Anolis sagrei: one gene and its partners. The protein of the gene in region 2 purifies or fractionates together with the protein of the main gene of each other region. This does not show direct contact. Links are inferred from orthologs where the notes say so. Each region holds a gene or a part of one and is shown on either strand. Other genes may lie near its edges.

Region 1 (7,732 bases), on a different chromosome or scaffold from region 2:
CTGGGGTCATTTGCTATTTTCCAACAGCTCCTGCCAACCAGGCTTTGCTTTCTAGAATGCTTTGGATCAAACTATAATCCACTCTCATTTTGTGTTTTGGCCTGTTTTGGTTTTCCCGAAACTTTATTTCCAAGCATGCAATCCGTCCGCAACCCTGAAGTGCGCATCAAACAAATCTGCGTGATAATGATGTGGATGCAGTGACAGTTCTTGTACACAGAAGCACTTGACTGATCGATTGCAGATACATCTAGTTGGGAATTTAACCCTCAGCTGTTTGTGGAACTGGGAGCCTGTCTGTGGAAGTGGGCAGCCCAGCCACACAACGTACATACGCATATAGATATAGATTATGATGAACATTATGATCAGTTTTATGCTGTACTAGCCGTCACCAGCCACACGTTGCTGTGGCCCACATAGGTGTTCTGTGTGGGAGTTTTGGCCCAATTATATCATTGGTGGGGTTCAGAATGCTCTTTGATTGTATGTGAACTACAAATCCCAGCCACTACAACTCCCAAATGTCAAGATTCTATTTTCCCCAAACTCCACCAGTGTTCACATTTGGGCATATTGAGTATTCGTGTAGAGTTTGGTCCAGATCCATAATTGTTTGAGTCCACAGTGATCTCTGGATGTAGGTGAACTACAACTCCAAAATCAAGATCAATCCTCACAAAACCCTTCCAGTATTTTCTGTTGGTCATGGGAGTTCTGTGTGCCAAGTTTGGTTCAATTCCATTGTTGGTGGAGTTCAGAATGCTCTTTGATTGTAGGTGAACTATAAATCCCAGCAACTATAACTCCCAAATGGCAAAATCAATTTCCCGCCCAATCCCACCAGTATTCAAATTAGGGCGTATCATGTATTTGTGCCAAATTTGGTCCAGCAAATGAAAATACATCCTACATATCAGATATTTACATTACGATTCGTAACGGTAGCAAAATTGCATTTATGAAGTAGCAACGAAAATAATGTTATGGTTGGGGGGTCACCATAACATGAGAAACTGTATTAAGGGGTCACAGCATTAGGAAGGTTGAGAAACACTGGTGTAGAGTTTGGTCCAGATCCATCATTGTTTGAGTCCACAGTGCTTTCTGGATGTAGGTGAACTAGAACTCCAAAACCAAAGGACACTGCCCACCAAACCCTTCCAGTATTTTCTGTTGGTTATAGAAGAACTGTGTGCCAAGTTTGGTTCAATTCCATCGTTGGTGGGGTTCAGAATGTACTGGTGAACTATAAATCCCAGCAACTACAACTCCCAAATGACAAAATCGTTTTGTTTTGTTTTTTTGAGTGAAGGACATACATTGGATTGTTAGGTGTCTTGTGTCCAAATTTGGTGTCAGTTCGTCCAGTGGGTTTTGAGTTCTGTTAATCCCACAAACGAACATTACGTATTTATTTATATTTATTATTAACTCTTTCGGGCAATATTATAATCATATTTATGGACTACTACTATGTTTTGTTATGATTGCTTTATGTTTTTGATTTTGCTTTGAGTTGTTTCATTATGCTGTTGTTGTGTTGAGGCCTTGGCCTTTGTAAGCCGAATCGAGTCCTTCGGGAGATTCTAGTGGGGTACAAATAAAGTTTAATAATAATGATTATGATGATGATGATAATAATAATAATAATAATAATAATAACAACAACAACAATGTTATACAATACTAGCCATCCCCTGCCAGGCATTGCTGTGGCCCAGTCTGGTGATGTGGAAAATAAAGTAATGAGAAAGTGTTGGTTTCTAATATATGTCATATCTTTCTGCTTGTGAGGAACCAGTATTTCTTGCTGTTTCTTTGCCAGTGTTGATGTGGTGATTGTCTGGTTTGCCTACTCTTGAACATGCAACATGTAATTGTTCATTAGGGGTCCCTTTCAAATCTATGATACTATATGTGTCATATACATATGTGTGTGTGGGAGAGAGAGAGAGAGTCAAATATATCTATAGCTGGATGGCTCTTTGTCAGGAGGGCTTTGATTATGTTTTCTTGCCCTGGTCAAAGGAGTTGAACTGGATGGCCTTAAGGCAGCATTTCTCAACCTGGGAAATCAAGACCCCGGGGGGGGGGGGGTCATGAGGGGGTATCAGAAGGGTCACCAAAGACCACCAAAAACACAGTATTTTCTGTTGGTCATTGAGGTTCTGTGTGGGAAGTTTGGCCCCATTTTGTCGTTGGTGGGAGTCAGAATGCTCTTTGATTATCGGTGAACTATAAATCCCAGTAACTACAACTCCCAAATGTCAAGCTCTATTTCCCCCAAACTCCATCTGTGTTCATATTTGGGCATATGGAGTAGTCATGCCAAGTTTGGTCTAGATCCTTCATTGTTTGAGTCCACAGGTGAACTACAACTCCCAAAAATTAAGGTCAATTCACCCCAACCGTCTCCAGTACACTTGGTTAAGTAGTCATGGTGATTTTCTGCGCCAAATTTGATCCCAGTCCATTGTCGATGAAGGTCACAGTTTCTCTGGATGTAGGTGAACTACAACTCCCAAACCCAAGGACAATGCCCACCAAACCCTTCTAGTGTTTTCTGTTGGTCATGGGAGTTCAGTGTGCCAAGTTTGGTTAAATTCCGTTGTTGGTGGAGTTCAGAATGCTCTTTGATTGGAGGTGAACTATACATCCCAGCAAATACAACTCACAAATGTCAAGGTCTATTTTCCCCAAACTCCAACAGTGTTCACATTTGGGCATATTGAGTATTGGTGCCATGTTTGGTCCAGATCCATCATTGTTTGAGTCTGCAGTGCTCTCTGGATGTAGGTGAACTACAACTCCTATAAATCAAGGTCAGTTCTGGAAGTAGGCAAACTACAATTCCAAAACTCAACTCCCAAATGACAAAATCAATATTTTGAGTGATGGTCACTCCTTGGGTTAGTAGGTGCCTTGTGGCCAAATTTGGAGCCAATTCGTCCAACAGATTTTGAGTTATGATGTCACTCAAAACGAACAGAACATTTTTATATATATAGATTATGTCCAATTCTGGATGCATTGACGCAAGACATTTTCCCAAGGAGAGTCCCAAACCTCTGTCCGCTCTTTCGATCCATATCCACCAACTTCTGTTCTCATCGCTACCAACAGCAGTCCTTGATGGTGGTTCATGGTCAAGCTCTGCTGCTTGAGATGCTTCTGCCGTTTCCGCTGCTTGAAAACTACCAAGAGCAAGATTCACGGATGGGCTTGTGTGATACACCGGAGGAAAAGGGTGCCCTCTTTGAGATAGGCGTATTTCGGTGACTGTAACTTAGCCAACAGGATGAATTTGGGAAAGCCACTGGCTTCGTTCATATCCGTCATGGGCCTCTGGAAGGAAGGTGATGCTGGATCCGGGTGGATGGTGCTGACATGATCTTCTGTGTTGTTTTGACTCAGCAGCATGAACGTGACCTGGGAAAAGACAAGCAGAATGGCTCAGGTGGCTTGTTTGTGTGGTTGCCACAACTGTTACACAGTGCATATTTTAACCCAACGTCCCAGCGCCCAAAACCCAAATGCAAAAGACCTCACTACCTCTGAGGATGTTTGCCATAGATGCAGGCAAAACGTCAGGAGAGAATGCCTCTAGAACATGGCCACATAGCCTGAAAAAACCTGCAACAACCCAGTGATTCCGGCCATGAAAGCCTTCGACAATACAAATGCAAATAGTCTCAGGCCAATAGTCAAAGTGAACAGAAAATCTTTACTCTCTTTACTTTGCAGAGATGAAACAAAACTGGCAATGCTGCACACAAAACCCAGCAGTGCAACATATTTACACAGTCTTTGTAATAAACATAAAATAAGACATCTTCATCTTTACTGAAAATGGGAAAACAAAATAAACCTGAAGTATTTATTTGTTGTGTCAGGAAAACCAGTCAATTGTATTACATTTCTAACAGAACAAAACAAACAGACAAAATACAAAATTTGCAAGTTTGGTAGTTGGTTAAATATCCTTTGACCAGTAGCTGGCTACTTGGAGTGCTTGTGATGTTGCCACAAGGAGGTCCTCCATGGTGTATGTGGCAGGGCTCAGGTTGCATTGCAGCAGATGGTCAGTGGTTTGCTCTTCTCCACATTCCCATGTCGTGGATTCCACTTTGTGGCCCTATTTCTTAAGGTTGGCTCTGCATCTCGTGGTGCCAGAGCGCAGTCTGTTCAGCGCCTTCCAAGTCACCCAGTCTTCTGTGTGCCCAGGGGGGAGTCTCTCATTTGGTATCAGCCATTGGTTGAGGTTCTGGGTTTGAGCCTGCCACTTTTGGACTCTTGCTTGCTGAGGTGTTCCAGCAAATGTCTCTGTAGATCTTAGGAAGCTACTTCTTCATTTAAGTTGTTGGCGTGCTGGCTGATACCCAAACAGGGGGTGAGCCGGAGATGTCACTGCCTTGGTCCTTTCACTATTGGTTGTATCATAGTGTTACATAGTGCAAATATGGGCCAGGCTTTAGCACAGTGTTTCTCAACCTGGGGGTCAGGAGGGGTCACCAAAGACCATTAGAAAAACACAGTATTTCCTGTTGGTCATGAAGGTTCAGAGTGGGAGGTTTGGCCCCATTCTCTTGTTGGTGGGGTTCAGAATGCTCTTTAATTGTAGGTTAACTATAAATCCCAGCAACTACAACTCCCAAATGTCAAGGTCTATTTTCCCCAATCTCCAACAGTGTTCACATTTGGGCATATTGAGTATTTGTGCCAAGTTTGTTCCAGATCCATCATTGTTTGAATTTACAGTGATCTCTGGATGTAAGTGAACTAAAACTCCAGAACTCAAGGTCAATGCCCACCAAACCCTTCTAGTATTTTCTCTTGGTCGTAAGAGTTCTGTGTGCCAAGTTTGGTTCAATTTCATCATTGGTGGAGTTCAGAATGCTCTTTGATTGTAGGTGAACTTTAAATCCGAGCAACTACAACTCCCAAATGATAAAATCTACTCCCCACCAGACCCCACCAGCATTCAAATTGGGGCATGTCGGGTATTTGTGCCAAATTTGGTCCAGTAAATGAAAATACATCCTGCATATCCGATATTTACATGTCAATTCATAACAGTAGCAAAATTACAATTACGTAGTAGCAATGAAAATAACAACTATGTAGTAACAACGAAAGTAGCAAAATTACAATTATGTTGGAGCCCCCGGTGGTGCAGTGGATTAAAGCACTGAGCTGCTGAGCTTGCTGACCGAAAGGTCGCAGGTTCGAATCTGGGGAGTGGGATGAGCTTCCGCTGTCAGCCCCAGCTTCTGCCAACCTAGCAGTTCGAAAACATGCAAATGTGAGTAGATCAATGGGAAGGTAAGGGCGCTCCATGCAGTCATGCAGGCCACATGACCTTGGAGGTGTCTATGGACAATGCTGGCTCTCCGGCTTAGAAATGGAGATGAGCACCACACCCCAACGTCGGACATGACTGGACTTAATGTCAGGAGAAAACCTTTACTTTTACGTAGTAGCAACGAAAATAATGCCTTGGTCAGAGCACACCCGGAATCACACTGCGTCTGATTCTGGGCACCGCAATTGAAAGGAGATGTTGACTCTAAGCTGGAATGTGTCCCAAGGAGGGCGACTCAATGGATCAAGGGTCTGGAGAAGAAACCCTATGAGGAGAGGCTGAAAGAGCTGGGCATGTTTATCCTGCAGAAGAGAAGGCTGAGAGGAGACATGGATGAAGATGGGAGGGGAAGTCAGGAGGGAATAATCGTGTTTTCTGCTGCCCTGGAGACTAGGACGTGGAACAGTGGCTTCAAACTACTGGAAAGAAAGGAGATCCCACCTGAACATTTGGAAGAACTTTGTAATTGTGAGAGCCGTTCAGCAGTGGAACTCTCTGGCCTGGAGTGTGGTGGAGGCTGCTTCTTTGGAGGCTTTTAAGCAGATGTTGGGGGTGCTTTGAATGTGATTTTCCTGCTTCTTGGCAGAATGGGAATGGACTGGATGGCCCACGAGGTCTCTTATTGTTTACTTTTGGTCAGATGAGAATAGGATGGAGGTCATCTACTTTTACTTTCTGTTTTCGTATTTTTTCCTGGATTTTTTTGGGTGTTTTTTACTCTATGTTTCTTTTCTTGCTCCACTTTTTTCAATTTTCAATGTAACCTCCATAAATCTGTGTGCTGCAAGGGCAGGTGCTTGTTGCATAAGCAAAAGCGGTCGTTCCCACATTTCAGGGCCACCAGATGGGAAAACAAAGCCAGATGCAAGAGATTGGGCAAAGCTGCCCAAGCAAAATATTGTGAAACTCAAATCCATTTCGAGCCTTCTCCAGGCCAAGCCGTGGCTCTCATTTAAGAAGTGTATACATAAGCATTCAAGATTCAATGAGATGTTGAACCTAACTCCGTCCTGACAAACCCTGACATCTCTCCCTGGCCTGGATTGTTTACTGAGCTCTGTTTATGTCCTGCTAGAAATGCAACATTACATGCCTGGAAATGGTGGTTACATACAAACCTTGATAAACGGTCTCTTCAACAACAAACAAGCTTTGGCTACATTCTGCACATTGGACACACGGACGATATAATAACACACAGTTGCCATGTCGTCATTTTGAGTTTGCACCCTTTGCATAATTCTGAAGTTCTATACAATATTTTATCTAGGGTGGTTGTGAGATTTCCAAGCTGCCTGGCCATGTTCCAGAAGCATTCTCTCCTGAAATTTCACCTCCATCTATGGCAGAGGTTGTGAGGCCTGTTGGGAACTAGGAAAATGGGGTTTATATATCTGTGGGATGATGTCCAGCAGGCCCGTAGCCAGGATTTTGATTCGGGGGAGGGGGCTGAGTTTGTTTTTTTTGGGGGGGGGGGAGGGTCAGGATCTACCCTAGCAAACCTTTTGTATTGTTACCCCAATACCCCCATGCATAGGGGATATTTTGAGCATGGTGATCAGATCATGATACGAATAAACATAACAGTTTAAGTAATGTACCAGTAAGGCCATCTCGTGGACCATCCTGAGAATTGGGGGGGGGGGGGGGGCTGATTGTAGAATAACTATAAATCCCAGCGACTACAACTCCCAAATGACAAAATCAAATTTTTTGAGTGATTGTCACTCCTTGGGTTAGTAGGTGTCTTGTAGCCAAATTTGGCAGCAATTTGTCCATTAGTTTTTGAGCTATGTTAATCCCACAAACAAAGATTACATTTTTATTTATATAGATACTAGCTGTTCCTGCCACGCATTGTTGTGGCCAATCCTCCCTCCCTCTTACTCTCCTTCCTTCCTTCCTTCCTTCCTTCCTTCCTTTCATTCTTTCCTTCCTTCCCTCTTTTTCTTTCCCTTCTTTCTTCCTTCTCTACCTGTTTCTTTCCTCCCTTCCTTTGCTTTTTGGTTCCATCTTTCCTTCTCCCCTCCCTTCCCTCCCTCCCTCTTTCTCTCTTTCATTCATTCTCTCCTTCCTTCCTTCCCTCTCTCTTTCCTTCCTTCTTTCACTTTTTTATTTCCTTCTCTCCTTCCTTCCTTCTCTACCTTTCTTTCTTTCTTTCTCTCCTTCCCTCCTTCTTTCCCTCTTTCTCTCCTTCCTTCCTTCCTCTCTCCCTCCCTCTTTCTCTCTTTTATTCCTTCTCTCCTTTCTTCCCTCTCTCCTTCCTTCCTTCTTTCACCTTTTTATTTCCTTCTCTCCTTCGTTCCTTCTCTTTCTTTCTTTCTTTCTTTCTTTCTTTCTTTCTCTCCTTCTTTCCTTCCTTCCTTC
Region 2 (7,370 bases):
TAGATATATATGATTCACACACAGAGCGATATAATATCATAGATTTGAAAGGGAGTCCTAAAGAAGGACAATGATATGTTCCATGTTCCAGAGTAGGCAAACCAGACACTTTCCACATCAACCCTGACAAAGAAATACTGTTTACCCACAAGCAAAAAGAAATTACATAGATTAGAAACCATTACTTTATTTTCCAGATCACCAGACTGGGCCACAGCAACTTGGCAGGGGACGACTAGTGAGAAAATAATTTACTTTTTTTTAACCTAAGAGAACACCTCTAGGAATTTCTAGGTCCCATGATCAATTTCTCCTGGGAGCTGACCACCAAACTGCATTGGAGAACTTAGGGAGTACTAAAAAGTGTTCTCTCTAGAAATAAATCTCTAAGGGCACATTATCTGCTTTGACCTGGATTATCTGAGGCCCCTTCTACACTGCCATATAAAACCCAGATTACCGTATCTGCTTTGAACTGGATTATCCTTTTGCCTTGTCCATTTGGCCTGCTCATTCTGCCCATTTGATTTTACATTGTGTTAATTTGCTTTATTTATGTTATTTTGTTACTGTATGTATTTTATTCTGATGCAATTTATGTTGTCTGTAGTCTGTATTTTATTTTTGCTGTATTGCACCTTAGGGTTTGGCCTCATGTCAGCTGCACCGAGTACCCTTTGGGGAGATGGTGGTGGGGTATTAAAAAAAGAATATTATTATAATATTATTATTACCTGGCAGTGTAGATTCATGTAATCTAGTTCAAAGCAGATAATGTAGATTATCTGTGTTGATAATTTGGATTATATGGCAGTGTAAGAAGGGGCCGGGGGTTTAGCACAGCTGGTAAATAACCAGCAATTATAAGATTTATCAACCGGAGGGTTGCAAGTTCGAAGCCCCGGTTCAGTGTGAGCTGCTGACTGTCAGCCCAGCTTACTGTTGACCTAAGCAGTTCAAAAACAGCTTTAACTGTAATTAGAGAAATTAGGTACCGCTAAAAGAGGGGGAGGTGTTTTACGACACAATAAAGAAGATCAGAAAATGTTGGGCAACCAAAAGGATGAATAAAGTCCTGATGGCTCTTCGTCATAGAAGAAAATCCCACAATATCTGCTTTGAACTGGGTTATTTGAGTCCACACTCAGATAATGTGGGATTTCCTGCCTTGATAATCTAGATCAGTGGTTCTCAACCTGTTTTTTGTTTTGTTTGTTTGTTTTTTTGTCGTGTCAGGAGTTGCTCCTGTTGTGAGAGAATTGGCCGTCTGCAAGGCAAATTGCAGGCCAATGTGCCCAGGGGACGCCCGGATGATTGGATGTTTTTATCATCCTTGTTAGAGGCTTCTCTCATGTCCCCGCATGAGGAGCTGGAGCTGATAGAGGGAGTTCATCTGCCTTTCCCCGGATTTGAACCTGTGACCTGTCGGTCTTCAATTCTGCCTGCACAGGGGTTGAACCCACTGCGCCACCGGGGGCTCCTCTCAACCTGTGGGTCCCCAGGTATTTTTGCCTACAATTCCCAGAAATCCCAGTGTTTACCAGCTGCTAGGATTTCTGGGAGTTGAAGGCCAAAACATCTGGGAACCCACAGGTTGAGAAGCACTGATCTAGAATACAGGGCTGTGTGGAAAGGCCCTGGGTTATCTGAGTCCACACTGCAATATAATCCAGTTCAAAGTAGATGATGTGGAGTTTTATTCAGTTGTGTGGAAGTGCCCTAAATGATCAATGCAGATCATAGAATGATAGAGTTGGAAGAGACCTCATGGGCCATCCAGTCCAACCCCTTGCCAAGAAGCAGGAATATTGCATTCAAAGCAGGCCCGTAGCCAGGATTTTGTTTCGGGGGGTTGGGGGGGGCTGAGTTTCGGGGGGGGGGGGCTGAGTCTGAGTGAAAGAGGGTCTAGCCTAGCAAACCTTTTGTATCATTACCCCAATACCCCCATGCATATGAGATATATTGAGCATGGTGATCAGATCATGATATGAATAAACATAACAGTTTAAATAATGCACCAGTAAGGCCTTTTCGTGGACCACCATGAGAATTTCGGGGGGGGGGCTTAAGCCCCTCAAGCCCTCCCCCCCCCCGCTACATGCCTGATTCAAAGCACCCCCGACAGATGGCCATCTAGCCTCTGTTTAAAAACCTCCAAAGAAGGAGCCTCCACCACACTCCGGGGCAGAGAGTTCCACTGCTGAACGGCTCTCACAGTCAGTAAGTTCTTCCTCATGTTCAGATGGAATCTCCTTTCTTGTACTTTGAAGTCACTGTTCCGCATCCTAGTCTCCAAGGAAGCAGAAAACAAGCTTGCTCCCTCCTCCCTGTGACTTCCTCTCACATATTTATACATGGCTATCATATCCCCTCTCAGCCTTCTCTTCTTCAGGCTAAGTATGCCCAGCTCCTTAAGCCACTCCTCATAGGGCTTGTTCTCCAGACCCTTGATCATTTTAGTCGCCTTCCTCTGGACACATTCCAGCTTGTCAACATCTCTCTTCAAGATGATCCACTTGATCTACTTTGAACTGGATTATCTGAGTCTCCACCGATATTTAATCCAGTCCAGAGTGGATAATCCTAATCTTCAATGGTAGTGTAGAAGGGGCCAAAGGGGGTGCCATACTGTGAGGAAAGCTGACACATTCCCTTTGCTGCGGGTCAGAAAGCGAGGCGAGCCATTTTAACTAGCCACTGCGCACTTTAAATTTAAATTGGCAGGAGGCCCATGCCAAAGAAGGCGAGGAAGACGCAGGGAGAAGGCCCCCACTGAAGCCTCTCCTTCCTGCCCTGGAGGGCTGGGCCTAGCAGCCCCCAAAGCGCCCTCACGCCCGTGCCCGGCTCCTGAGGCGTCCTGCTCCCCCTCCCCGCCCTTCCTGCCCAGAAGCCCCTTCCTCCCAGCCCGGCCCGGCCCCACCTCCGAGGGAGGCCTGAGAGGCCCAGCTCCTCGCGCCCCGAGCCCGCCCGCGCGCCCCTCCCTCCCTCCTTCCTCGGGGCCCCTCCGCCACTCACTCCTTAGACATCGCACTCAGATGACCTACAGGGAGCGCAGAGCCCCCTCCCTCCAGAGCGCGCATGCGTGAGAGCGCGCGTCATGCTCTTCCCCCCTCTCCCTCCTCTCCCCGCCCAATTCCCAGCGCGAGAGGGGGCGCGTGGCTCTTTCCAATGCCACGCCCCCCTTTGCCGCAGAGACCCATAAACTTCCTAACTAGACAACCAATACTTTGTTTTTTCTTCCAATGCGGGAAACGTCGGCTGGATCTACAATGCCAGATCATACAGAATATGGATTAACTATATTAATCTGGATTATATGGCAGTCGAGGCTCAAGATAGTTTAGTTATCATGCATGGGCAAACTTCACCCCTCCAGGTGTTTTGGACTTCAGACCTTAATAATAATAATAAACTTTGGGTTGTTGTAGGTTTTTTCGGGCTATATGGCCATGGTCTAGAGGCATTCTCTCCTGACGTTTCGTCTGCATCTATGGCAAGCATCCTCAGAGGTAGTGAGGTCTGTTGGAACTAGGAAAAAGGGTTTATATATCTGTGGAATAACCAGGGTGGGACAAAGAACTCTTGTCTGTTGGAGCTAGGTGTGAATGTTTCAACTGACCACCTTGATTAGCATATAATAGCCTGACATTGCCTAGAGCAAACTTTTGTTGAGAGGTGATTAGACGTCCTTGTTTGTTTCCTCTCTGTTGTTGTGCTGTTGTAATTTTGTTGCCAGTATTAAAAAACTCTAAAATTACAACAGCACAACAACAGAGAGGAAACAAACAAGGACGTCTAATCACCTCTCAACAAAAGTTTGCTCTAGGCAATGTCAGGCTATTATATGCTAATCAAGGTGGTCAGTTGAAACATTCACACCTAGCTCCAGCAGACAAGAGTCCTTTGTCCCACCCTGGTTATTCCACAGATATATAAACCCTTTTGCCTAGTTCCAACAGACCTCACTACCTCTGAGGATGCTTGCCATAGATGCAGGCGAAACGTCAGGAGAGAATGCCTCTAGACCATGGCCATATAGCCCGAAAAAACCTACAACAACCCAGTGATTCCGGCCATGAAAGCCTTCGACAATAATAAACTTTATTTATACCCCGCCACCATCTCCCCAATGGGAACTCGGAGTGGCTTACATGGATGAATGCTGTGGAATCCAGGAAGTTGTGGTTCTGCAAGTCCTTCAGTTCTCACCAAACTACAAATCCTAGTCGTTGCACTTAGGGCCCTCCTGCACAGCTCTATAACCCAGAATATCAAGACAGAAAATCCCACAATATCTGCCTTGTGCTGGGTTGAGTCCACACTCAGATAATGTGGGATATCCTGCCTTGATAATCTAGAACAGTGGTTCTCAACCTTCCTAATGCTGTGACCCCTTAATACAGTTCCTCATGTTGTGGTGACCTCCCAACCATAACATTATTTTTGTTGCTACTCCACAACTGTAATTTTGCTATTGTTATGAATCGTAATGTAAATATCTGATATGCAGGATGTATTTTCATTCACTGGCCCAACATATTACAGCAATAAAATCAGAACATAAACAACAAACAACAACATCATCATCAAAGTACATTAATTTTTAAAAAAATCTTAAAATAACATTCTAATAAACACAATCATGATAACAATGGGCGGGCCACATGTACAGGATAAAACAATTTTTAAAACTGATGAGATAAAATAGGAGAAAGACATTTATGGGGATTTATGAGATTGAACTTCCCATTTGGGGGGCACGAACTCCAGTAACAGAAAAGCGTTGAGGGGTGCAAAATGTCATGGTGTACACCTACTCACCAAAGGCGCAGCGAAAGAGCCAGGTTTTAAGGTTCTTTTTAAATGTTTCTAGTGAAGGGACTTTCCTAATCCCTCCAGGTAAAGAGTTCCAAAGTCGGCGAGCCACCAAGGAGAAGACTCCCTCCCTTGTACCCACAAGATAGGCTTTTGAGATTGGTAAAGGTGACAGGAGGACCTCCCCAGAAGATTGAAGGGCCCGGGTTGGTACATGGAGAGAGATGCACTCACGAAGGTAGGTGGGTCCCAAACCACCAATGGCACTGGAGGCCATTTAACTTATGCAGAAAGTATTGTTTATCCTTGGAGGACATAAATGGAACGTGTGGTGGCTTCTGAACTCCAGATATTCTTGGAAGACACGGATTATCTGGACCCGGCACAGTCTGGTTTTAGGCCGAGGCATGGTATTGAGACAGCCTTGGTCGCCTTAGTGGATGATCTGCACCAGGAACTAGACAGGAGGAGTGTGTCCTTGTTGGTTTTGCTGGACCTCTCAGCGGCCTTCGATACCGTCGACCACGGTATCCTTTTGGGATGCCTCACAGGAATTGGCCTTGGAGGTACTGTTTTGCAGTGGCTCCGGTCTTTCCTGGAGGGTCGTTCCCAGAAGGTGTTGTTGGGAGATTCCTGCTCAACTCCACAACCATTGTCTTGTGGGGTCCCACAGGGGTCAATACTATCTCCCATGTTATTTAACATCTACATGAAGCTGTTGGGAGAGATAATCTGTAGTTTCGGGGTACGGTGTCACCTGTATGCAGATGACGTCCAACTCTGTCACTCCTTTCCACCTGCTACTAAGGAGGCTGTCCAGGTCCTGAACCAGTGCTTGGCCGCTGTGATGGTCTGGATGAGGGTGAACAAATTGAAATTGAATCCAGACAAGGCAGAGGTCCTTCTGGTCAGTCGAAAGGCGAAACAGGGGATAGGGTTACAACCTGTGTTGGATGGGGTCACACTCCCCCTGAAGACACAGGTTCACAGTTTGGGACTCATCACTGAGCCTGGAACCCCAGGTCTTGGTGGTGGCCGGGAGAGCTTTTGCACAATCAAAACTTGTGCGCCAGCTGCGCCCGTTCCTTGGGAAGTCTGACTTGGCCACGGTGGTCCATGCTCTGGTTACATCCCGTATAGACTACTGCAACGCTCTCTATGTGGGGTTGCCTTTGAAGACTGTTCGGAAGCTTCAAATGGTCCAACGGGCGGCAGCCAGGTTGCTAACAGGAGCGGCGCCCAGGGAGCATACAACTCCTCTGTTGCACCAGCTCCACTGGCTGCCAATCTGCTACCGAGGATATTCTGGCCACCAGGGGATCTGTTGCTTCACCGCCCATTTGTGGCACTGATGAAGTACTTCCTTATTCTTTGCATGCTTGCTGGAGATTTTTATGGCATCATAAATTAGCCTCCCCACATAAACGGTACCTAAATTTCCTACTTGACAGATGCAGCTGTCTTTCGGGCTGTAAAGGTCAACAGCAAGCTACACAAATTGGTCGGAAGCTCACTCTGACCCGAGCTGGCTTCGAACTCATGACCTTTTGGTCAGTAGTGATCTTAATGCAGCTGATTCCCAGCCAGCTGCACCACAGTCTTTTTTAAAAAGATAGGATTAGGTTATGTAGTTCCTCCGGATGCTGGTGGCTGATTCTGAACACCTTCAGACCAAGGGTGACTGGCAATAATTCACTGAGGTGAGAGTTGAGTCAAAGTGGCCCTGCGGAACTCTCCACTGAAGGTCAGCATGGTTCAAATCAATAGTTTTGACTGGGGAGGGGGTCTTTTGGGCTCGATGACAGCTGTATGGAAGGGCCCTAGGCTCCATCTACACTACCACATAATCTAGTTCCCAGCAGATAATCTGGATTCAGTTTATTCAGGTATGGCAATGTAGATCCATCCTCAATCTCAAAGGTGCTCCAAAATCCCTTTGTATTCTGATCCTGTCGAACAGCTATATTCTACTGCCATGTTTATAACTGGCATGCTGTAAAAGTTTCTGTGATATAAACACAGAACTAAAATATACAGAGTTAGTTCAAAACTTCGCAATTTATCTAAACATGTCGGATTTTGCTACCTTGCAGAACATTTCCCGTTGTTCAGAGTGTGTATGTACCTTGAGGCCTATAAATCTTTTCTAAAACTAGGAGGGGAAAAAAATCAAGGCTCACCGTAGTAGATATAAACAATATAACTGTTTCTAAACTTGTGTGGAGTTTACCACAACCAGCCCAGAATCCTGAAATTAGGGGCTTGGAATCCCAGAATCTCTCTTGCACTTACAAGCAGCATATTCATGCCACTTGCTTGCTATTTCACAATATGTACATTTCTCAATTGTATAACAAATATTCTTGTTTTGATGAGACCCACATCCAAGGATGCAAATTTCCATCTAATTGGTTGAAGCATTGCCAAGTGCCAAACTATAACATGCAGGCCATAGGGGTGTCAAACAACTATATGAGGAAGGGTGAATACTGAATATCTCTCCAATCTTGATAAGAATGGCTTCTACGCTCCAGTATCATCTCTTGTATTCTGCC
Region 3 (7,361 bases), on a different chromosome or scaffold from region 2:
AATCTGCTCAAATGTGAACACTGGTGGAGTTTGGGGGAAAATAGACCTGGACATTTGGGAGTTGTAGCTGCTGGGATTTATAGTTCACCTGCAACCAAAAAGCATTCTGAACCCCACTAATGATAGAATTGGGCCAAACTTCCCACACAGAATCCCCATGACCAACAAAAAATACTGTGTTTTCTGATGGTCTTTGGTGACTCCCCCAGGAGTCTTGATCCCCAGATTGAGAAATGCTGGCATAGGGAAACACATGTGAATTAATGGACAATGTATATGGTTCAAATCTGTGGACTCAAACAATGATGGATCTGGACCAAATTTGGCACCAATACACAATCTGCCCAAATGTGAACACTGGTGGAGTTTGGGAGGAAATAGATCGTGATGTTTGGGAGTTGTAGCTCACCTGCAACCAAAAAGCATTCTGAACCCCACCAATGATAGAATTGGGCCATACTTCCCACGCAGAACCCCCATGATGAACAGAAAATACTGTGTTTTCTGATGGTCTTTGATGACCCCCCTGAAACCCCCTCATGACCCCCCCCCAGGGGTGCTGTAGCTGCTGGGATTTATAGTTCACCTGCAACCAAAAAGCATTCTGAACCCCACCAATGATAGAGCTGGGCCAAACTTCCTATACAAAAACAATACTATGTTTTCTGATGGTCTTTGGTGACTCCCCCAGGAGTCTTGATCCCCAGATTGATAAATGCTGGCATAGGGCAACACATGTGAATTAATGGACAATGTATATGGCTCAAATCTGTGGACTCAAACAATTTTGGATCTGGACCAAATTTGGCACCAATACACTATCTGCCCAAATGTGAACACTGGTGGAGTTTGGGGGGAAATAGACCTTGACATTTGGGAGTTGTAGCTCACCTGCAACCAAAAAGCATTCTGAACCCCACCAATGATAGAATTGGGACAAACTTCCCACACAGAACCCCCATGATGAATAGAAAATACTGTGTTTTCTGATGGTCTTTGATGACGCCCCTGAAACCCCCTCATGACCCCCCCCCCAGGGATGTTGTAGCTGCTGGGATTTATAGTTCACCTGCAACCAAAAATTTATTTTATTTATTTGGGGTTCTTGTACCCCGCCCTTCTCACCCTGTAGGGGACCCAGGGCGGCTTACAACAGCAAAGGCACGCTTAGATGCCTGCCACACAAAACAATCATCACAGAAGTGCAACAATTCATAGTTACCACAATTCAAGCCATTATCCCAATAAAAACAATAAAAAATCGATAAAATCGATAAAATCAATAAAATCAATACAAACCTAATTCTTCCTCCTACCCTATCAGTGTACACTAACTCACAGATCTGTTTTTGATTTCACTTCGACAATCCTGCTGATCTTGCACATCTGATTGTCTTATTTAATTGTCTTATTTAATTGCCTGGTTGCCCAAAGGCCTGGTTCCACAACCATGTCTTCACCCTCCTCCTGAAGGAGAGGAGGGAGGGTGATGCTCTGATTTCCCTCGGGAGTGAGTTCCACAGGTGAGGGGCCACCACTGAGAAGGCCCTGCTTCTCGTCCCCACCAGCCTCACTTGTGACAGTGGTGGGGTCGAGAGCAGGGCCTCCCCAGATGATCTCAAACTCCGAGGTGGGACGTAAAGCATTCTGAACCCCACTAATGATAGAATTGGGCCACACTTCCCACGCAGAACCCCCATGATGAACAGAAAATACTGTGTTTTCTGATGGTCTTTGATGACCCCCTGAAACCCCCTCATGACCCCCCCCCCAGGGGTGTTGTAGCTGCTGGGATTTATAGTTCACCTGCAACCAAAAAGCATTCTGAAACCCCACTAATGATAGAATTGGGCCAAACTTCCCACACAGAACCCCCATGATGAACAGAAAATACTGTGTTTCCTGATGGTCTTTAGCAACCCCCCCCCCTCCAGGGGCCCCCATCCCCTACTTAGTGTGATGAGGTCCTAAGTCCAAAACTTGAGGGAGGGCTGCAGTTTGGCCATGCCTGGTATAAAAGTGATTTTAAGAAAGGGGGGCAAAGGGAGTGTCTACACTGCAGCGTGAATGCAGTTGGACTCCATCCCTCAAGGCAAAGAACCCTGCACAGTTCCCCAGCACTCAAGGCAAAGGACCTATGCTGATAAGAGACAGGGAATTCAAGAGAGCACCTATTCCAAACCAGGGAAGGAAGGAAGAGAGGGAAAGGAAGGGAAGGGGATGGAGGCGCTAATTTCGGACCTGTCCTCGGAGTCCATGCGGCTGAGAGGCTCTCCGTCGGAGGAGGAGACCTCCATGCTGCCCCTGCGTCCGCCCGACGAGGCGCTGCACGTACTGCCTCCTCCTCCTCCTCTTTCTCCTTCTCCCCCGGCTTCTCCTTCGCTGCCTCCGCTGCGGCTGCTGTAGCCCTCGTCGCGGCTGGATTCGCTGCTGGAGCAGGACGAGGAGGCGGAGGAGACACTGCTGCTGCTGCTGCTTCCTCCGCCAATGAGGCCTCCTCCTCCTCCTTCTCCGCCGTCGTCGCTCTTGCCGCTTCCTCCTCCTCCTCCTTCGATGGCGGAGATTTCCGTCAAAGGCCCCGCTAGGCCTCCTCCTCCTCCGCCTCCTCCCAGTGGCAAGGCCTTGGCGTCGGCTTCCGGGCTGAGGGAGCGGGTCTCGTCGCTGCAGCACCCGCTGGAGGAATCCTCGTCGTCGTCCTCCTCCACTTCATCGTCCTCCTCCTCCTCGTCGTCTCCGTCTCCCGCCTGGCTGGCGCTCTCCGGGCTGGACTCCGACATGCTCTCCGCCCCCTCTCCGCTCAGCAGCAGCGCCGTGGGCTCAGCCTCAGAAACGGGCGAGGCCTCGGCCTCCATTTCCACCAGCGGCGAGGGAGAGGCCTCCTCAGAGGCGCCTGGAGGAGGAAGGAGAAGAGGAGGAGGAGGACAGAGCAACGGGGAGCCGCCTTCGCCGCTGCTCAGCTCGGCCGCCATGTTGTCGCCTTCCCCTCCCTTCTTCCCGTCTCTCTCTCTCCCTCACGAAAAAAGGGGAGGAGCTTCCCACTGCAGCGGGATGACGGACGGACGGACGGACGGAGGGAGGGAAGGAGCGTGCGCGCGGGCGGGCGGTTGGCTGGCGGCGAGGGTGCGCATGCGCGGCCTGGCGCGCGCGCGTTATGGAAGCCGCCTGGGGACAAAAGTGAGGCAAGGACAGGCAGCCCGTCCAACTGCGCTTGGAGGCAAAGCGAGGTGGGAGGCGAGGGATAAGCGCAGAAGGCCGAGGGAAATAGGGACGTTCAAGAATGTATGAACCAGTTATTGTTGTTGTTGTCCAGCCTCTGTTTAAAAGCTTCCAAAGAAGGAACCTCTACCACTCTCCCGAGGCAGAGAGTTCCACTGTTGAACGTCTCTTAACAGTCAGGAAGTTAAGTTAACAGTCAGGAGGTTAACTCAGACATCAGAAGAGCTGCAAAACCGAGAACAAGCCACGAAAGTAAAGATGAAGATCCACCCAGAGGAAAAGTGTTTGATGATGTTTTTGATTTTTGCTAGATTGATATTTTAGATTGTGTCTTGAATTTTGTACCTTGTTCTTCTATGTTGTACACCGCAGTGAGTCGCCCCTGGGCTGAGAACTGCGGTATATAAGCAAAGTAAATAAATAAATCAAGGGAACCACTGACCACATAGGGAAATTGATGAGGAAACACAACGTACAAACCACTTACAGACCCACCAAGAAAATCCAACAAATGCTACGTTCAGCAAAGGACAAGAGGGATCCTCTCACCTCTGCAGGAGTCTACCGTATACCATGCAGCTGTGGACAAGTCTACATAGGGACCACCAAACGCAGCGCCCAGACACGCATCAAGGAACATGAAAGGCACTGCAACTACTCCAACCAGAGAAGTCAGCCATAGCAGAGCACCTGATGAACCAGCCTGGACACAGCATATTAGTATAAAAGTATGATAAGTATAAAATTGTGTGCTGAAATAAAACATATTATACATAAGAGGCAAAAACCAGCACCTATTAATCACCAATTAAAATCCAGTTGGCATTGGAATCAATTAAAAACCTCCATTGCTTACGATATAGTCAACTGTTTTCAAAGGCCTGCTTCCATATCCATGTTTATAGTTATTATCCAATAGCAGAGCACCTGATGAACCAGTCTGGACACAGCATATTATTTGAGAACACAGAAATGCTGGACCACACCAACAACCACCATGTCAGACTACACAGAGAAGCCACTGAAATCCACAAGCATGTGGACAATTTCAACAGAAAGGAGGAAACCATGAAGATGAACAAAATCTGGCTACCAGTATTAAAAAACTCAAAAATTACAACAGCAAAACAGAGAGTAAACAATCAGGCACATCAATTCACTCTCAACAAGAGATTCCCCCCAGGCGCTTCCAGGCCATTGAATGCAAATCAAGGTGATCAGCTGAAACATTACCCTGGTTATTCCAGATATATAAACCAATTTTTCCTACTTCCAACAGACCTCACTACCTCTGAGGATGCTTGCCATAGATGCAGGCGAAACGTCAGGAGAAAAATTGCCTCCAGAACATGGCCATATAGCCCGGAAAAACCTACAAAAACCCAGTCAGGAAGTTCTTCCTAATGTTCAGATGGATTCTTATTTCTTGTAGAAATCTCATTGTTCCATTGCATCCTAGTCTCCAGGGCAGCAGAAAACAAGCTTGCTCCCTCCTCCCTCTTAACTTCCTCTCACATATTTATACATGGGTTGTTGTAGGTTTTTTCGGGCTATACGGCCATGGTCTAGACTAGAGGCATTCTCTCCTGACGTTTCGCCTGCATCTATGGCAAGCATCCTCAGAGGTAGTGAGGTCTGTTGGAACTAGGAAAATGGGTTTATATATCTGTGGAATGACCAGGGTGGGGCAAAGGACTCTTGTCTGCTGGAGCTAGGTGTGAATGTTTTCAACAATTCAGAGTGCTGGTTTTGATCTACAAAACCCTTTACGGCTCTGGCCCAGCGTACCTGTCCGAACGTATCTCCTTCTACATCCCACCTTGGAGTTTAAGATCTTTAGGGGAGGCCCTGCTCTCAGCCCCACCTTTATCACAAGTGAGACTGGTGGGGATGAGGGACAGGGCCTTCTCGGTGGTGGCCCCTCGCCTGTGGAATGCACTCCCCGGGGAAATTAAGTCATCAACATCCCTCCTCTCTTTCAGAAGGAAGTTAAAAACCTGGATATGGGACCAGGCCTTTGGGTAAGCTGGCAGATGGATAAAGGACAACGACAACCAGAGTAGGAAAGGACAATTGACAATGCTGGATGGATTATAGCAGGGGTCCTCAAACTAAGGCCCAGGGGCCGGATGCGGCCCTCCAAGGTCACTTACCCAGCCCTCGCTCAGGGTCAACCTAAGTCTGAAATGACTTGAAAGCACACAACAACAATAATCCTATCTCATCAGCCAAAAGCAGGCCCACACTTCCCATTGAAATACTAATAAGTTTGTATTTGTTAAAAATGTTCTTCATTTTAATTATTGTATTGTTTTTAAGTGTCTTTTGCACTACAAGTAAGATATGTGCAGTGTGCATAAGAATTCATTCATTTTTTTCCCCAGGCTATAATCCGGCCCTCCAACTGTTTGAGGGACTGTGACCTGGCCCTCTGTTTAAAAAGTTTGAGGACCCCTGGATTATGGATTTATGAATTGGCAAACATTGACCACAAGATGATTTTATTGCTGCTATTGTATTAATTTGATTGTTTTAACTAGTTATAACTGTTATCGTTATATTGTATTATATTGTAGACAGCAGTGATAGCTGACAGGTCTGATGTGACGATGTGAGCTAGCTGGAGGTATGTGGAAGTCTTCCAGCAAGTGTTCCATTTTGTATGCAGTCTACTTGGCTAGTGGGAATAGGGACTCAATTAGAGTTACCAGGACCTTGGTTGACTACTGAAGTGTCAGATATTCTATGGTTCTGCAAATCAAAAAGTCCCAGTGCTCCCAGTTTATGAGGCCTGTTTTCACCACATCACTGTTGTTCATGGTTGAGATGAGGATGCAGATGGTAGGAGACGTCTGGAAAGGAGCAGGAGGCTAGTTGGGGAAGTCATGCTAGAGCTACAGGTGACAGTTTTTCCATCCCTGGGTGCAGATGCAGAAAATGTTAGAATCACCTGATCCCTGCTTGGAGAACTAGTAAGTGGCAACACAGTTCATTAATTTACTCCTGTGAATCTACACGTTGCAGACTTGTCAGACCAAAAGCTGGGGAGACTTTGGCATCTTTATTGGTTGGGTAGAAGAGGGAATTTTTGATGCAACCAAGTAATAAGCAACACCTGCTAAAAATCCCCTCTTGTGCACAACTATAAAAGGTACAAAAACCCTCTCCTGTGTTAGCTCTGGCATCCTGACACATTAGTCTGTTTTCTGAAGCAAAGGTTGTCTGCAATCATAACCCACTAAACAGAACACATTCAATCTAGACTGGCATTGACCAGCATTGAGTTAGATTAGTTGACCCCAGTGTCTCTTCCAGCTGTAGAATTCTGTGATTCAGTGATTCCAAATTAGTGAAACCTTTCCCGCCTTCATGCTAACTGTTGCACAAACAGCCCATTCTTTGTGTGGCTTTCTCGAATCTTCCATGCCGCACATGGTTCTATCTGTTAATTGGATCCCGTAGACCTCCTTTATGGTGTCAGGTTTCTCCCAGCCAGTCGAAATTGGCCCTTGTCCATGGGCTTGAACTGCCGGTGACCCTATCCATCACGCAAGCTTGACTCTGTCTACACAGATTACTGGGCAAAACCCATGATTGGCTTGGATTTCATCCCAAAGGAGGAGCAAATGGCAGATTTCTGCACTATTACAGTGGGAGCAACTGGAGGCTTTACCCAAATATCTTGAAGCTATTAAGAACGCAACAAAATCTTCTCAAACAAAGGGAAACAAGACACTCACTCATACTGTGAGCTCAGCAAATAACAAGGCCATATAGAAAAAGTACACCCACCTTCCCCTTTTAAAGTTCTAGTCTACACTCATCTTCCAAAATAGTTCAGGCAGTGTTTCTATACAGATGTAACCAATAAAGTCCCACTGGACTTGCAGGATTGTGCTTTGAATAGGCCTGCATAGAATTTCATTGTAAACTTTTCGTTAAATGGATACTCTAAACCTGTCATTTTAACATCCTTTTTTGTGGAAAATACCTTGGGGTGTATTAAATGCCTACTTATTATGTAAGTAAAAAGTTCAAAACCCTATTGCCTTTGGGTTTCAAAATCCTTTTGCCTTTGAACACAGCCACCCTCGGAGTGCCAACCACCTGAGAACTATTCTAAAATTGAATGAGATTATTGGGCT
Region 4 (7,792 bases), on a different chromosome or scaffold from region 2:
CAATTGCACACATTCATCGGGCACACTCCACATACACACTCCCCCTTCGGACTCAAAAAATACTTTAAAGTTAAGCTGCTGGGGAGCCTGCCTTCCTCTGCAATGCGGATGTGTGTGTCTGTATGTGTTTTAATTCCTAAACTCGGATCAGAAACGCTTCCAATTCAAGGTCTGGTGTGTTAAGAAATAAGCAGAGAAAGGGATGCGAAGTTTATCGGGCGTTTCTGACAAAACAAGGGCAGAAAATCCCACCACAGAAGACAGCCCGCTCCTTTTTGCAAGCGACATATTGTGCCCAACTTTGGCCCTTTTCATTCCTCGATTTGTGCAGCGCCCAATGGATAGAATACAACTATGGGAGGTAGTCGGAGGGGAAAAAATAGACAACTCGCTTCTCTTTGAGACAATTATAAAGCGATTGGGTTACACACAACATGAGGCTTGGACGCGAAAGCGATTTCTCCCTCCATTGAAAGCACAAAGCTCGAGCCATTTTTTTTGTTGCCAATGTTAAAAGCCAGGCCTTGGCCAACACATTCCTTCCAGCAAGGCTTGCAAACACAGGGCCCTTCCACACAGCCCTATATCCCTGAATATCAAGGCAGGAAACCCCACAATATCTGCTTTGAGCTGGGTTGTCTGTGGGCCCTTCCACACAGCCATAAACCCCGAATATCAAGGCAGAAAACTGCTTTGAACTGGAATATATGGCAATGAGGACTCAGGGCCCTTCCATACAGCCATACAATCCTGAATATCAATGCAGAAAACCCCACAATATGTGCTTTGAACTGGAATGTCTGGCAGTGTGGACTCAGGGCCCTTCCACACAGCCATAAAACCCTGAATATCAAGGCAGAAATACCCACAATATCTGCTTTGATCTGAGTACACAATCAGAAAACCCATAATGTAGGATTTTCTGCCTCGATTTCTGCCCCCCAAAAAGCCAATGAGGGAACGTACACGCTGGAGAGAACTACAAATCCCAGGCATTCTAGTCACTGCAAATTCACATTGTGGTCCTTGAATAACGAGGCTCTTTGCAAACCAAAGGAAATGTTTCATCTTTTCCTTCGTCTCAAAAAAACTAAGCAAAGGCTCTTCCACACAGCCATTTAACTAAGGGCCCTTCCACATAGCACTATATCCCAGAATATCAAGGCAGGAAATCCGACATTATCTGCTTTGAACTGGAATATATGGCAGTGTGGACTCATATAACCCAGTTCAAAGCACATTTGTGGATCTTCTGTCTTAATATTCTGAGGAGGGGGGGGGCTAACCTAGAATATCAAACCAGAAAATCCCACAAGATCGGCTTTGAACTGGATTATCCGAGTCCACACTGACATATAACCCGGTTAAAAGCAGATATTGTGGGGCTTTATTCATCTGGGTAGAAGGAGCCTCAGAATATCAAGGCAGGTAATACACATTATCTGCTTTGAACCGGATTATGAGTCCACACTGCCATATAATCTGGTTCAAAGCCGAAAATGTGGGATTTTATCCAGCTGTGTGGAAAGGACCTCAGAATGTCATGGCAGGTAATCTGCAATATCGGCTTGGAACCGGATTATCTGAGTCCACAGTCATATAATCCGGTTCAAAGCAGAAAATGTGGAATTTTATCCAGCTGTGTGGAATGGGCCCCAGAATATGAAGGCAGACAATCCCACAATATCTGCTTTGAACCGGATCATCCGAGTCCACACTGCCAATTCAGTGTGGATTTTGTCCATCTGTGTGGAAGACGGGGTTTGGATTCCGATTGTGTCATTTGAGGTCAATACAATTGATCCGATTGAGGAATCGCTGCACGACTGAGGGATCGAAGCCTGCCCATTTGGGAAATAAATAGGTCTGAATCCCCCCCCCCCCTGACCGACATTTCCCAAAAGCACCCACAATCTGAAGGCACACAGCCTTTACTTACGTATTTCTTTTGAATTATATTCCTCTTGGGTCTTTCTTTGCTCATTATGAGATCCAGGTTGCGGTTGCAAAGGGGGACAATTGCTTCATGAATTTGTGTGTGTGTCGGAAGGGGCAGAAAAAAAGATCCTTATCTTGAAATATAGAGATGTGTATATATATCTATTTCTTCCTTTTCCCCGCCGTTGCCTTCTTCCTTGTAGTGGTTTCTTGTAATCCGGGTTTTTCTTCCCTTCGCACACAATGCAATAAATCCGAAAGAGGTGGGACGAAGAAAAAAGAGACCAAGCACCAAAAAAATTAATATAGATAGATCACTCTGAGAGAAACATCGCTGGAAATTTCACACACACACACACACCCCACACACACAAAAAAGCACCGTTTTGGCTCCTTCCCGATCCTTAGAGGCCTTGAAGGTGTAGTTTTACATCTTGAGTGGAGGAAAAAAAGGGGGGAAATAGGGAAGGAAATTGATTTTTCCCCCTCAAGGCTGGAAGTCACGTTTCTCCTGCTGCAGCGCAGACAACTCCAAGCAAAAGGCGGCACAGAGAGAGAGAGAGAGAGAGGTTGAGTCTCTCCTCCTCCTCCTTCTTCTTCTTCTTCCTCGAGACAGACACACAGCCAATGGGAGCCAATGAGCGCGAGCTGCTTCTTCCCAGCAGCAACTTTAAATGGCCCGATTTGTATCTGTATCTGGAATAGAGAGAGATCAGGGAGGCCAAGAAGGGAGGGTTGTGATCCTCGGTCTTTCAACGTGCCATCAGCAGCCAGAAAAAGAAAAATAGCATAGAAAAGGTATCAAAATTGAAGAGCTGCACAACCCAAACGGCCTGGTGCCCATCCACAGCGGCGGCGGGGAATGGGAGGACAATCGCAGCCTCTCTCCTCCTCCTTTCTGTCTCTGCAAAAAAAATTCTCCTCCTCCTTCTCCTTCTCCTTCTGCTGCTACATCTCCCGCTGCATCCAACCACAGCGAGGATCTCCTTCCCTTTGCTTTCGAAGGAGAAGCAGCCCTGCAAAAGCAAAGAAGGAAAAGCAAAGCAAGAATCGCCCTCTCGCTCTCGCTCTCCCTCTCGCTGGGAAAGTTGTAGTCCCCTCGCTACAAAATGGCTACAAGGGCTCGAACTGCAAATCCCAGCCTGCGCGGCGGCGGAGGCAGCATCATCCGCGGCCTGATTGGGCGCCGGCAGAGGGATTGTCCTCGAGGCACCTTTCTTTCACCTCAGGCCCCGCCCACTTTGGGAAACGCCGGCCGCGGCGCCGCGCGGAGGACGAGGACGGGGACGAGGCAGGCGGGCGGGGGCGCGCGCGCGCGCGGCGGAGGCTGGCTTCCTCTTCGCGCGCGAGCCCTCCTCTCCAGCGCAGTGGCACGCGCCCCCTCCAAGGGAAGGAGGGAGAGGGAGGCTGTCACGTGGTACATTCATAATAATAATAATAGTAATAATAAATGCAGCAGGTATTTTGTTCCCATTTGGGTCATAGAATCACAGAATTAGAAGAGACCCCCCCCCATTCTGCCAGACAGGAATTACCCCATCAAAGCACTCCCAACAGATGGCCATTCAGCTTCTGCTTTAAAAACCTCCAGAGAAGCAGACTCGGTAATAATATGATAGCTGGGTCCTCAGTCACATCAGTAGGGATGCTATTGTCCTCCCAACCCTGCTATACACCTGCGAGATGTGGACTGTCTACAGAAGTCATGTGCAACTCCTAGAATGAATCCATCAGCATTGCCTCCAGAAAACCATGCAAATCTCTTGGGAAGACAAGCGGACAAATGTCAGCGTGCTGGAAGAAACAAAGACCACCAGCATTGAAGCAATGGTCCTCCGCCATCAACTCCGCTGGACCAGCCACATTGTCCGGATGCCTGACCACTATCTCTCAAAGCAGTTGCTCTACTCTGAACTCAAGAACGGAAAACAGAATGTTGGTGGGTAGGAAAAGAGATTTAAAGATGAGCTCAAAGCCAACCTTAAAAACTCTGGCATAGACACTGAGAACTGGGAAGCCCTGGCCCTTCAGCGCTCCAGCTGGAGGTCAGATGTGACCAGCAGTGCTGAAGAATTTGAAGAAGCACAAATGGATGGTGAAAGAGAGAAACGTGCCAAGAGGAAAGCGCATCAAGCTAACCCTGACCGAGACCGCCTTCCACCTGGAAACCAATGCCCTCACTGCAGAAGAAGATGCAGATCAAGAATAGGGCTCCACAGTCACCTATGGATCCACCGCCAGGACACCGAACTTGGAGGACCATCATCCTCGGACTACAAGGGATCGCCTAAGTAAATAAGTAACTTGCCCCCAAATTCCACCAGTGCTCACATTTGGGCATATTGAGTATTCATGCCAAGTTTGGTCCAGATCCATCATTGTTTGAGTCCACAGTGCTCTCTGGATGTAGGTGAACTACAACCCCAAAACACAAGGTCATTGCCCACCTAACCCTTCCAGTATTTTCTGTTGGTCATGGGAGTTCTGTGTGCCAAGTTTGGTTCAATTCCATCTTTGGTGGAGTTCAGAATGCTTTTTGAATGTAGGTTAACTATAAATCCCAGCAAGTACAACTCCCAAATGACAAAATAAATGAATGAAAATGTATCCTGCATATCAGATATTTGCATTACGATTCACAGCAGTAGCAAAATTACAGTTACGAAGTAGAAATGAAAATAATTTTATGGTCGGGGGTCACCACAACGTGAGGAACTATATTAAGAGGTTGTGGCATTAGGAAGCTTGAGAAACACTGCCCTACAAGAACCACTGCCTGAATATCAAGCAAAAAGTGGGCGCTAGAAACAATATCATAGGAAAGCTGACTGGCACAACCTGGGGATCACAACCAGGTACAGTGAAGACCTCTGCCCTTGCGCTATGCTACTCTACTGCTGAGTATGCATGCCCAGTGTGGAACACGTCTCACCACGCTAAAACAGTGGATGAGACATGCCGCATTATCACAGGGTGTCTGCGCCCTACACCACTGGGAAATTACACTGCTTAGCCAGTATTGCACCACCTGACATCCGCCAGGAAGTAGCAACCAATAGTGAAAGGACCAAGGCAGAGACATCTCCGGCCCACCTCCTGTTTGGGTAGCAGCAATCATTCCAACGACTTAAATCAAGAAATAGTTTTCTACAGAGACACTTGCTGGAACACCTCAGCAAGCGAGAGTCCAAAAGTGGCAGGCTCAAACCCAGAACCTCAACCAATGGCTGATACCAAATGAGAGACTCCCTCCTGGGCACACAGAAAACTGGGCGACTTGGAAGGTGCTGAACAGACTGCGCTCTGGCACCACGAGATGCAGAGCCAACCTTAAGAAATGGGGCTACAAAGTGGAATCTACGACATGCGAGTGTGGAGAAGAGCAAACCACAGACCACCTACTGCAATGCACCCTGCCACATGCACAATGGGGGACCTTCTTGCAGCATCACCAGAGGCGCTCCAAGTGGCCAGCTATTCCTCGTGAGGTCTGACCAAAGCAGAATAGAGTGGGACCATGACTATCCTTGACACGATACTCACGATACTCCTGTTAATGTCATTGAGGGTTATAGAGAAGAATTAAAATCATAGAATAGAATAATGGAGTTGGAAGGGACCTTATGGGCCATCCAGTCCAATTCCCTGCCAAGAAGCTGGAAAATTGCATTCAAAGCACCCCCGACAGATGACCATCCAGCCTCTATTTAAAAGCTTCCAAAGAAGGAGCCTCTACCAGAGACTTCCACTCCTGAACAGCTCTCACAATCAGGAAGTTCTTCCTAATGTTCAGATGGAATCTCCATTCTTGTAGTTTGAAACCATTGTTCTGTGTCCTAGTCTCCAGAGCAACAGAAAACAACCTTGCTCCCTCCTCCCTGTGACTTCCTCTCACATATTTATACATGGCTATCATGTCTCCTCTCAGCCTTCTCTTCTAAATGCTAAATATGCCCAGCTCTTTACGCCACTCCTCATAGGGCTTGTTCTCCAGACTTGATCATTTTACTCGCCCTCCTGATGTCGAAAAAGGTTGGACATCAGCAAGGGATACTTTGTGTTTTTTCTGCATGGTAGGGGGTTGGACTAGATGGCCCATATGGTCTCTTCCAACTCAATTGTGGAACTGTGGGATGTGAAAAGAATATAGGTTTAATGCTCAAAGCACTAAATCACCCTGGAGGCAGAAAGGCAGCCATCTTGAGAGTGGGCTGCGAGAGAAGGGAGGGATCACCACTACATCATGATGATTCCCCTTCCCTACTAATCTAATGTGTTTTTGCTTTGTTCCATGGAAAGGGAAAAGAATAAGAGTAAGATAGTGATGCCAGGGTGCTTTAGTCCTTTAGATGAGGGAGAAACTGAGACCTCAACCTCCAGAGAAAACCGAAGCAGGACTAGAAAAAGGAGCCAGTGCCGCCATCTTAGAAGCTGGCAGCCTCCCTTCCCTCACAGTCCGCTCCCAAGATGGCTGCCCTTTTGCCTCCAGAGTGATTTAGTGCTTTGAGCATTAAACCTGTACTCTTTTCACACCTCACAATTATAGATTATGGATCCTGGGATTTGTAATTTGGTAACAACGTGAACTAATGAAAATAAAGCCAATCTACAGGATAGAATCAGGGCAAATAAAGTGGAATCATGGCACAATAAGTTAAAAAATGCCAAGAATATGCAATATCAAGGCTGGAAACTGCTGAACAATGGAAAACCGGTAGGTAACCTTGAGCAAGTCACACTATCTCAGCTTCAGAGAAGGCAAAGGCAAACCTCTTCCTTATAAATGTTCTCAAGAGAGCCTTTGTTTGGTTCACCATAAATCAGTGTTGACTTAAAGGCATATGAGAATAACATGCAGCAAGGATGATTTCAATGCAAATACAGAGCCATCCTGGTGAAATGACCATGTCTTATACATGCAGCCTATATTATATGGAGCAAGGGTGGAATCAATTCAAACTACAAGAAAGGAGATTCCACCTGAATATTAGGAAGAACTTCTTTACTGTGAGAGCTGTTCACCAGTGGAACTCTCTTCCCTGGAGTGGGGTGGAGACTCCTTCTTTGGAAGCTTTCAAACGGGCTGGATGGCCATCTGTCGGGGTGCTTTGAATGTGATTTTCCTGCTTCTCGGCAGGGGGTTGGACTGGATGGGCCACAAGGTCTCTTCCAACGCTATGATTTTAAGTTTTGGGTACAGGGGAAAATTGTCTTCCTATGTTGGTTGAGCCAAAGGTAGGATCAAAAATGCTGGCACGTTTTAGGGCAGGGGTCCTCAAACTTTTTAAACAGAGGGCCGGGTCACAGTCTTTCAAATCGTTGGAAGGACGGATTATAATTTGAAGAAAAAAAAGAATGAATTCCTATGCACATTGCACATATCTTATTTGTAGTGCAAACAGCACTTAAAAATAATACAATAATTAAAATTAAGAACAATTTTAACAAATATAAACTTATTAATATTTCTATGGGAAGTATGGGCCTGTGTTTGGCTAATGAGATAGTGTTGTTGTTGTTGTTGTTATTGTTGTTGTGTGCTTTCAAGTCAATTCAGACTTAGGTTGACCCTGAGCAAGTGCCAAGTAAATGACCTTAGAGAGCCGTATCCTTTGCTCATCCAACGTTCTGTATTATCCCACAGGCCCTGTTTTAGGGTAAGGCTCTTGCCACCAATAACTAAGCCATGGGGAAGCATTTTAACCTTTTAGAATCGAGATCAAAACTACAAAAGCTAGGAAACCACCATATGAAGACATTAGGAAAAAGGAGAAGTAGTCTGCTCGGGACATATGGAGAGCCAGATTAGAGAAGTTCTGCAGTGTTACATTCAAAACCACAGACTGAGGCTATA

Evidence for each region.
Region 1: the proteins of EZH1 (region 2) and PHF19 purify together in Homo sapiens (affinity purification with mass spectrometry; 4 studies listed by BioGRID and IntAct, counting the BioPlex papers as one, with this or other methods). This does not show direct contact. The link is inferred for Anolis sagrei from reciprocal best matches to the Homo sapiens genes EZH1 and PHF19.
Region 3: the proteins of EZH1 (region 2) and AEBP2 purify together in Homo sapiens (affinity purification with mass spectrometry; 3 studies listed by BioGRID and IntAct, with this or other methods). This does not show direct contact. The link is inferred for Anolis sagrei from reciprocal best matches to the Homo sapiens genes EZH1 and AEBP2.
Region 4: the proteins of EZH1 (region 2) and JARID2 purify together in Homo sapiens (affinity purification with mass spectrometry; 4 studies listed by BioGRID and IntAct, with this or other methods). This does not show direct contact. The link is inferred for Anolis sagrei from reciprocal best matches to the Homo sapiens genes EZH1 and JARID2.

The regions. Positions count from the first base shown.
Region 1 is NC_090031.1:8,752,576-8,760,307, reverse strand, and holds the start of PHF19 (PHD finger protein 19), read right to left. Parts: upstream 3,115-7,732; coding exon 3,070-3,114; exon of another isoform or gene 2,600-3,069; intron 1-2,599. Other genes in the region: TRAF1 (TNF receptor-associated factor 1), read right to left, coding at 3,214-3,432.
Region 2 is NC_090026.1:50,724,060-50,731,429, reverse strand, and holds the start of EZH1 (histone-lysine N-methyltransferase EZH1), read right to left. Parts: upstream 3,105-7,370; 5' UTR 3,081-3,104; coding exon 3,016-3,080; intron 1-3,015.
Region 3 is NC_090025.1:183,640,483-183,647,843, reverse strand, and holds the start of AEBP2 (zinc finger protein AEBP2), read right to left. Parts: upstream 3,052-7,361; 5' UTR 2,970-3,051; coding exon 2,242-2,969; intron 1-2,241. UniProt on the Homo sapiens protein: Acts as an accessory subunit for the core Polycomb repressive complex 2 (PRC2), which mediates histone H3K27 (H3K27me3) trimethylation on chromatin leading to transcriptional repression of the affected target gene.
Region 4 is NC_090024.1:80,730,429-80,738,220, reverse strand, and holds the start of JARID2 (protein Jumonji), read right to left. Parts: upstream 3,131-7,792; 5' UTR 1,985-3,130; coding exon 1,940-1,984; intron 1-1,939.